Cricetulus griseus: one gene and its partner. The protein of the gene in region 2 interacts with the protein of the main gene of each other region in a biochemical or structural test. Links are inferred from orthologs where the notes say so. Each region holds a gene or a part of one and is shown on either strand. Other genes may lie near its edges.

Region 1 (4,428 bases), on a different chromosome or scaffold from region 2:
CCAGATCTCATAACGGATGGTTGTGAGCCACCATGTGGTTGCTGGGAATTGAAATCAGGACCTCTGGAAGAGCAGTCGGTGCTCTTAACCTCTGAGCCATCTCTCCAGCCCCCATACACTCTTTTTTATTCATTTACTTTTTGTTTGTTTTCAAGGCAGGGTTTACTCTGTAGCTTTGGAGTCTGTCCTGGAACTCAGTTTGTAGACCAGATGGCCTGGAATTCACAGAGATCCGCATGTCTCTGCCTCCGGAGTTCTGGGACTAAAGGATTGCGCCACCACCACCCGCCACACACACATTTTTAAAGAGGCCTAAAATAGTTCATGATCATTTGGCTTTTGGCTGCATTTTATCTCATAATTCCGAAGTTCTAGTCAGCCAGTCCACAGGATCTTTACTACGTATGTGCTACAGAGGAGGCCAGTTCACACAGCAGGTCGGAACAGGACACCAGATCTGTCCTCACCATCTCAAGCTTTCATGGCAGACTGCATCGTCCTTTTTAGGCTCAGAAACAATCACTGGGAATTGACTGGATTTGCAGTTTGGAAAGTTGCCATCCATTCAGGTTGCATTCAAACCGGTTTTTCCTACTCCTCAAACCTCAGAACAAATTGTAGCCAGGTGCTCTGCTTTGTCAGGTGGCCACTGCAGTCCGGACTTAGCCTTGTCTTCCCCCCTCCCCGCCCCCAGCCAACAATTTCTCTACGTAGATACCCCGATTTTTTACAGGAGGACGTGGAATTCAACCCCTAGTTATTTCCAAGAAGACTCCAACTTTTCTAGTGTTTCCATTTCGTTTGTTTTGTTAACCATTGTCATGATATGTGGGATTCTGGTCACACCTTCCTCTTAGCTGCCAGTGAGTGAAATGTCTCACAGTGAGTGCTTTCCTAGGGTTTCCCCCTCCTCCCGCATTCAAGTTAGCTATCTTCATGCGCTTTGACACTCTCGAAAAAGTTCTTAAAGAAAGCTCTGACATCCTGAGCAGTGATCATGGTATATACCCAATTGAAAGAGGCACACACTTAACATTTTATATGTTGTCCTTCATTAAATTAACACATGGAGGCCTCCTGGGTTGGTGGTGTGGTGGTCAAGCCCCGCAGCGACCGGTTCACCTGAGTCACACCCACGAGCAGGTCATGAGGGGTGACCTCCGCCAGTACCTGCGGCCTCAGGGGCACCTGAGTCTCCCTGGGGAACGGCTCACAAAGGCACTAGTCCCGAGGCGACCTCAACTTTCCCGCCCTCAGGAAGCCTCTGGACGCTCCACGCCCGCAGGCCTCCCCTCTCCACACCAGCGACCGGCGACTTCCCGGTCCACCGACTTGGGAGCCCGCCCCGCTGACGTCATCTCCCCGCCCCCGCAGCGCGCGCCTCAGTTCCCGCCCCGCCCCTTTTCCCGGCGTCCGCCGCGGCAGAGGCTCCTCGCCCTCTGATTTTGCTTCTCCTTACAAGATGGCCGACACAATGAGCCGGCGCATCGCCGGTTGGCCCTGAAGCGACTCTGGGGAAGAACGGTCAGTGAGGTTCCCGTCATCCCGCCGAGAGGGCCTTGCCCGAGGAGGTCGGCGCGGCGACCCGACTGTCAGACGCCGCCCCGGTAGCCGCCAGCGCGGCGCCCGCACGGCTGGGGTTGGCCCTGAGCAGCCCGCCCGCCCGCTCGCTCGCCCGCTCGCCCGCCCGCCTCTCGGCCCCGCCCCGGCCCTGCGCCGCCGCGGCTGCCTTCAGCCGCCGCCGCCGCCGCCGCCATGAAGCTGACCGACAGCGTGCTGAGGAGCTTCCGCGTCGCCAAGGTGTTCCGCGAGAACTCGGACAAGATCAACTGCTTCGACTTCAGCCCCAACGGGGAGACGGTCATCTCCAGCAGCGACGACGACTCCATCGTGCTCTACGACTGCCAGGAGGGCAAGTGAGTGTGGCGGTGGCCGCGGGCCGGGTTCCAAGCGCCTCCCTCCCCTTCCTTGTGTCGCCCGTCCCCGGCTGAGCCCCCACCCCCCACCCCCAGCCTGTGGTGTGCACCCCGCCTCCATCCTGCAGTGGTGCAGCCCCCTCCTGTCTCTGTAAAGCCAGGGTGGTCCTAGTCAGCGCTAGCGTTGCTGTGCCGGGCGTGCGTCTTTGGTCTCTCCCGAGCGCGCCCGCTCTCCAGACCCCACCTTGACCTTGACCTTTAAACGCCGCGTCCCTGCCCCCGGCGGCCAGGCGGGTGGCCCTTCCCGCTCCCCTGCCTGTCAGAGGCTGCGGGTCCCCCGGCTCTGAGCTCGGCGCAGAAGCGGAGGAGCTGTGGTGCCCGTCCGTCAGCGGCGTCGGCTCTCTGCCCTCACCGCGGTGACCTGGATTCAGCCCTGGCACCGCGCCCGTCCCCCCTGCCCCTCGGCTTCCAGCGCGGCCTTTCTGCCACCCAGCCCCGCGAGAGGCAGTTTTCAGCTGTCAGGATTTATCGGTTGCGCCTGTGCGTGAGCCTGCTGCCTTTTTCCCTGTGCCGATACCCACGCTTACAGTTAACTTGTTAAACAGCCTCTCGGAAACTTTTCAGTGCCAGGCTCGGGCGAACTTGGCCGCCCCATTCTGGTCAGAATGTGAGCTCCCTTTAAGACAAAGAAAGCGTTCTGGAACAATTTAGTGTTTCCTTTTGCATTACAAAAAAAAAAAAAAAGTTTACTCGAGTGCGGCGGCCCAGCCGCCAATCTCAGCATTTAGGCCACAGAGGCAGGCAGATTCCGAGTTCTGGACTTCATAGGCCAAGACTCAAAAGGGTTTTAAAAAAAAAAAAAAAAAAACCGCCAGTGTGTAGTTTGCTTGGAATTAACAAAACTCTGGATCTGGTTATGGGAGTTATGTGTTGGTTGGATAACCGCTATGGTTGTGTGCCTTTGCTGAGCAGATCACTTTGCCTTTTTCATAGCCTGAGGTGGGAGAGACGTTGTCTGCCTGGCCTCACCCTCTAGGTCCAAGTCCTTTGCAACAGAAACTAGTGTAGGCTAAATTTGATTTCCCTTGTCAACTTCAGCTGCCTTTCCTAAGCAGGAGATGTTTGGTTTAGTTTAATAGCTACTGTTTTTGACATTTTGTTAAAGTTACCTATGTTTTTGAAGCCTTAACTTTTTCTCTACTTACTCCATCTGTTCCTTTTGTTTCATTTTTCAAATAACAGACAGTTTTCTTTTGGAACTTGTCCCTCTGCATTTATCTAAAGTAAGGCTGTGTTGTAGACTAAGCTGCATATGTTTTTCTTGACTGTTTTCCTCACTGGGACTATAATAAAGTATTATGTAACTGTCTCTGGACCTGCCTGCTGTGTGTGGAAGAGTTCCCTACAGTGGTGATCCTGGGGAAAGAGAATCACAGATAGTTGTTTGAATTGATGTTCGTTTTAGTGTGTTGGTTTTTATCCTGCTCTGACCATTTGAGTTTGTTTGGAAGAGCTGGTAGGATTTAAAGTTGGGAACTGGAAGTAATTTGAAGTTGGTTTGCTTGAAATATTTAGTGTAGTACATATATGAGAATCTTCCCCCCAAAAGTTGAAGTGGAAATGCATATCCCTTATTCAAAGAAATAAAATGCTAAGACTAATTTATGTATAAAACCTTTTTACATGATTACAGACTTCATAGAACGTTACCAGTGTTCCAAAGAAATTTCTTGAAGAAAAAAAAAAAAGGCGCTTTCTTGCTCCGCAGTGCCTGTAATTCCAGCACTGGGGTAGGAGACTGGAGGTGGGAATGTTGGGATGCAGCTTGAACTACATAGTAAGATCCTGTCTCAAAAAAGAAAATATAAGAGCTGGAGAGATGGTTAAGAGTATACTTGGTGCTCTTACAGAGGATCTGGGGTCAGTTCCCAGCACCAGCATGGAGGTTCACAACCATCTGTAACTCCAGGGGGTCTGACTCCTACTTCTGACTTCCCTGATACCAGGAACATGTAGACATACACACAGGCAAACACCTATACACATAAAAATAAAGTAAATAAATATTTTTTAAAAGTTGTTTTAAGAAGAAAATATGTTTTAAAAAAGGTTTCTAGGAACTGGAGAGATGGCCCAGGGTTAAGAGCATATGCTAATCTTGCAGTTCAGTGCCAGAACCGACCGGAGGCCCACAACTACATTTAACTCCAGATCTGATGCTCTCTTCTGGCCTCCATGGGCAATAGCCATGTAAAGGGTGCATATTATGTAGATGCAGGCAAAACACTCATATACATAAAATAAAATCAGCAAATCTAAAAAAAAAAATGTTTAGAAGAATGATCTAACAGTTGGAACTAGGTATGTAACCATAGTGCTGGCTGGCTTCAAACAGCAATCCTCCTGCTTTGCCCTCCCATGTGCTACGATTACAAGTGTGAGCCAACAATATTTGGCTTAAGAGAGTATCTTATTTTTACATTTTTCTTTTTTTATCAAAAGTAGTTTTTTC
Region 2 (4,258 bases):
AAAAAACAAAGGAAAGAAAAGACACACTCAGAAACATAAAATGAGAACATAAAGTAAGAACAACAGTGCCAGAGACTAATGACAGCAAGATAGAAGCTAAAATTGAGGAGGGAGCCAGGAAAACCAAGTGAAATACATAAGACTCTGCATGAAGAAAACAGCAATGAAAGACAAAGATTATGACTATGGAAAGGAAATAACTACCAGGTGACTCGTAGGTTTCTAGCTCATGCACCTGAGTACCTGGTGTTGCTGTTTCAGTAAAGAAAAAAACGAAAAGGACCGAGAGAATAAGGATAATGTGTTTAAGTCTCTAGTGTCTGGGTAGGTGTTAGATGGAAATAGGTATGGGAAATAAACATTCAGAAAACAGAGCTTAAGTGAGACTGCTCAGGGAAAGTGAAAGAGGTGAAAGCACCCGATAAATTAAGAATCAATGAAAAAAACAAAATTGGAAGGAAACAAAGAACCACCAGCTTTCTAGGCTCAGTCCAAAGCTTGAAGAATATCCCATTAAATCCGGAAATGGAGCTGTTCTTACAAGCAAGTTGGAGCACATACCCAAATGACAGTGAGGAACCAAGGACACCAAGTGGGCAGTGGCCTTAGCAGTACCCCTAACTGCTGAATAACTAGGGCATCCCCCTATACCTCATCCCTCTACTAGAAACACCTCAGCTATGCAAGTGTACCTCCTGTCCCAAACATCTCAGCCTCACGGACTCAATAGCAATGATCTGGTCGTCAGTGATCCACTGGAATAGCCACTTTCGAAGACTATGAAAAGACCAGGGTGCTAGGATCCTTGACACTCTCCGAGAACCAACATGCTGGGAGACCAGCAGATAATTACCTTAAACTTCGGAACTGGGAGAGAAAAGTCTCTGTTTTTGGACCTGACATGGCAGCGGGGGTCTTGGAGGTCTTCCACTGGCGTATACTTTGAGTCCTAGTAAACAGAATGAGACCAGCATGAAAATCTACCAGGCTATTGACTCTATGAAGCCACATACAGAAGAGCTGGTGTAACTTGCTCATTCTCAGAAAACCAAGCTACAGGTACAGGAGGTCTAGTGTTGGATATTCAACAGGGGGATGGGGGGAGGACCAAGGAAGCCAAGAGGAGGTCTGGTGCACTCACACTGACACTGAAGTGGACTCCATCATAGCGGTACACCTTTTGAGAAGGCCTGCGCAGGGCAGGGTCCAGAGCAGGATCCACTATGAGCTTGTAGTTCCGCCACTGGAAGCTCGGGGCTTTCTGCCCATCTCCCCCACCTTCCTGGTCCATCCTTGCTCATTTACACTGTCAGGAAAAGAGGGATACGCAATGGGGGTCCAAGGCTTCGGCCTGACTCCGTTGCTGTCCCCTCAATGGCTTGCCCAGATTCCAGGTTCTCCTAACAGTCCGGTTTCCATACCTCAGCATGACCCACGGCTCCCTCAGATTCTGCCCTGAGGACCCAGGTTCACCGTAACACTCCATTCCTCTCCACCCCCAATTCTACCCTCAGGGCCCAGGGCCCATCTCGCGCCCCCTTACCTTCCCGCTCTCCCTAGCGCGCCCCACTTGGCCTCCACGCAAGACCCCTCCCCCGTCCCCTCGCAGGCCCCGCCCCCTCCCGCCTCCTCACCGGCCAGCGGCCCGGGCCAAGCCCCGCTCCCGCTCCCGCTCCCACACAGCCGCTCGCGTCCCCGCGCCCCGATCCTCTGGACCAGAGGTGGCACTTCTTCGGGGCGTTGGAAACACCGCGAGACCGAGCCTGAGACCCAGCTTCGGTCCCTGAATCCGGGCGGGCGGGCGAGCGGGCGAGCGAGCGGGCGGGCGCTGGGTGGGGGGGGGGCGGGTAACGCGCGCCGCTGCCCTCTCCTCCCGCCCGGGCGCGTTCGGTGCCCCCCCCACACACACCCCGGCTCCGCGCACTCACGCACGCACGCACGCGCCAGGGCCCTACTCACCCGCTCGTGGCGAGCGGCTCACCCTCCCCCACCGCGCGCAGCACCTCAGCGGCGTGAGGCGGCGGCGGCGGCGGCGCAGCGCGAGACCCGGCCCCGCAGCGGGGCGGCGGCGCCCCCCCACCACCACCTCCCCGGCGCGCGCACCAAACACCACCGCCACCTGCACGAGGCCCAGCGGGCGCCGCGTCTGCATTCGCACTTTCGCCGCGAGCGCTGCGGAGAGGTCCACGGGGCCGAGTGTGGCGGCCTTGCCTCGGGCGGCGCCCTGTAAGGCTCGGGAGTCGTAGCCCAGGGAGCCTGAAGATTGGCCGCATCCCCCGGAGAGTGGACTGCACCACCCTGATCCAGCTGCTCTGGCCTTGGGGTTCGTGACGAATCGGCGGCGACGAAAGCTGCGACGGGCCCCCTGAGGGAAGGGGGGCGGAGCGAGGGGGAGGAGGCCGGCCGGAGCTCGGGAGATTTGAGTGGTGCGTCGGGCGACGCAGATTCGCGAGGCGGGCGGGCGAGCGGGCGAGCGAGCGGGCGGGCGGGGCGAGAGAGTGGACAGGATGCGCGCTCCTTCGCTCCTCTTGCCTGCCCCTTCCTCGCGCAGCTCTAGCGCCTGTGAGGCTGCGCTGCAGATTCGCCACCGTGCTGGGCTCTGGCCGTCACCTCCGCTCACCTGCGGTGGAGTCGAGAAAAGGACGCCCGGGTAGCCGAGCCCCGTTGGCGGTGTCGGCCAGTACTCCTGGATGTTTGTTTCTAGCACAACTCAAGCAGCAGCCCACTTCCGACTCGGGGCGAAATGCTCACAGGGGGGAAAAGTCTCCTCAGAGTTTCATGACAAATCTCAGACAAGGGAAGCTGCCCAGATAACCCTAAGGAGTCGGGTAGCGAATCTGCGGATCCTGTTGTGGGCGGGGCCGACGCGCCGCGCAGAGAGGCGTGGCCAGGCGTGCGGAGCCCGGCGTAACGGGCTGCTTCCCGTAGAATCCACCAAAACCTGGGCGGGATGGGAGGTGGAAAAATACAAGCGGGAGCGGTGACTCAGGCGCTTTGCCGGCCCCGCGTACGTAACGAAGCGGTCGGTTTCCTCCCGCTGGTCCACTCGGGCCCCTGTTATTTCTCGGGCAGAGTAACATCGAACTGGCTCCGCACCGAACGATGACCTCGAGCTCCTGGTCTCTTTGCCCCTGTCTGCTGAGGGCTGGGGTTACAGGTGCGCCGCCGTAACCGGTGTATGGGCTGCTGGGCGTCTGACCCAGGGCTTCTTGCGTGCTGGGCGCCCTAGCTACACATCGCTTGGGCCTGTTTTAAAATGCCCGTTTCACCGACGGGGGATATTGAGCTGTGTCGGACAGACAGACCCAAGGGGCGCGTAACTAGATTTAAAGCTGTCTCAGGGTTCAGTCTGATAAGTTTGAGAGAGGCCTGAGGACCCTTGTGTCCTATGGAAGTAAAGGTCTGATAGTAACCCAGTAATCCACAGGCGGTTCCTAGGCTAGGGCTCCCTGTGCTCACTGGAGCCCAAAGCCAGGGTCTCACTTGGAAGCTTGCTTGGAGCTGAGACTGCGCCAAGGCTGAACACCCCTTTTCATCCAGTGAACAGTGGCATTCCCACCAGATGTGCTTCCGGAGCCAAGGATGCCCTCGGTGGCTCCTCCATAACAGTCCCTCACATTGACCTCCCTTAGTTTCAGGTCATCCCTCCAAGAATAGGTGGCTGTTGGTCACAAAAAAACTTGATGTAACCCTCACAACAGTGTAGGGAAAACTATTGGTGCCTACCTTTTCACGTTTTAATTGACCAAGTAATCAAATGAAGACTGTACAAGGTCTCTCACCACAAGACTGACAGGAATTGTGCTCTAAAATTATGAGGCTGAGGGAAAAAATATATATATATATATATATGAGAGATGTTCCTTTGTTTTGTCTCAGTAGAAGGCTGTGGTAATCACACAGACTGTGTGGCTGTGGGGCAAGAGCATCAGCCTTCCTGGCCTCAGCTGCCTGTCTGAAATGGAAATGATACTTGTTTATTGAGATGACTGTGAGGACTAAATGAGAGAACCTATGAATAGTCCTGTAGGATGAAGTGATCACTCAGGAAGAAACTTACATGAAATCCCAAGTGTAGAAACAAGAGTTTAGAGGCCACAACTGTTAACCACATTCAGATCAGCCTTGCCAGCCCTGGACGGAATCATACCTCACATCAGGCCCATTACCTCCACCTGACCCTTAGGAACAAGTAACCTTACCCAAGGTTTCCCCTTCACCCCATTCAGTCACAGGAACATATGTGAGATATAATTTA

Evidence for each region.
Region 1: the proteins of Setd1a (region 2) and Wdr82 form a complex in vitro, tested with the Homo sapiens proteins (2 studies listed by BioGRID). The link is inferred for Cricetulus griseus from reciprocal best matches to the Homo sapiens genes SETD1A and WDR82.

What each region holds. Positions count from the first base shown.
Region 1 is NC_048597.1:214,373,154-214,377,581, forward strand, and holds the start of Wdr82 (WD repeat-containing protein 82), read left to right. Parts: upstream 1-1,421; 5' UTR 1,422-1,755; coding exon 1,756-1,916; intron 1,917-4,428. UniProt on the Homo sapiens protein: Regulatory component of the SET1/COMPASS complex implicated in the tethering of this complex to transcriptional start sites of active genes.
Region 2 is NC_048596.1:72,994,098-72,998,355, forward strand, and holds the start of Setd1a (histone-lysine N-methyltransferase SETD1A), read right to left. Parts: upstream 2,816-4,258; 5' UTR 2,621-2,815; intron 2,342-2,620; exon of another isoform or gene 2,120-2,341; intron 2,108-2,119; exon of another isoform or gene 1,960-2,107; intron 1,776-1,959; exon of another isoform or gene 1,635-1,775; intron 1,307-1,634; 5' UTR 1,292-1,306; coding exon 1,142-1,291; intron 950-1,141; coding exon 854-949; intron 1-853. UniProt on the Homo sapiens protein: Histone methyltransferase that catalyzes methyl group transfer from S-adenosyl-L-methionine to the epsilon-amino group of 'Lys-4' of histone H3 (H3K4) via a non-processive mechanism.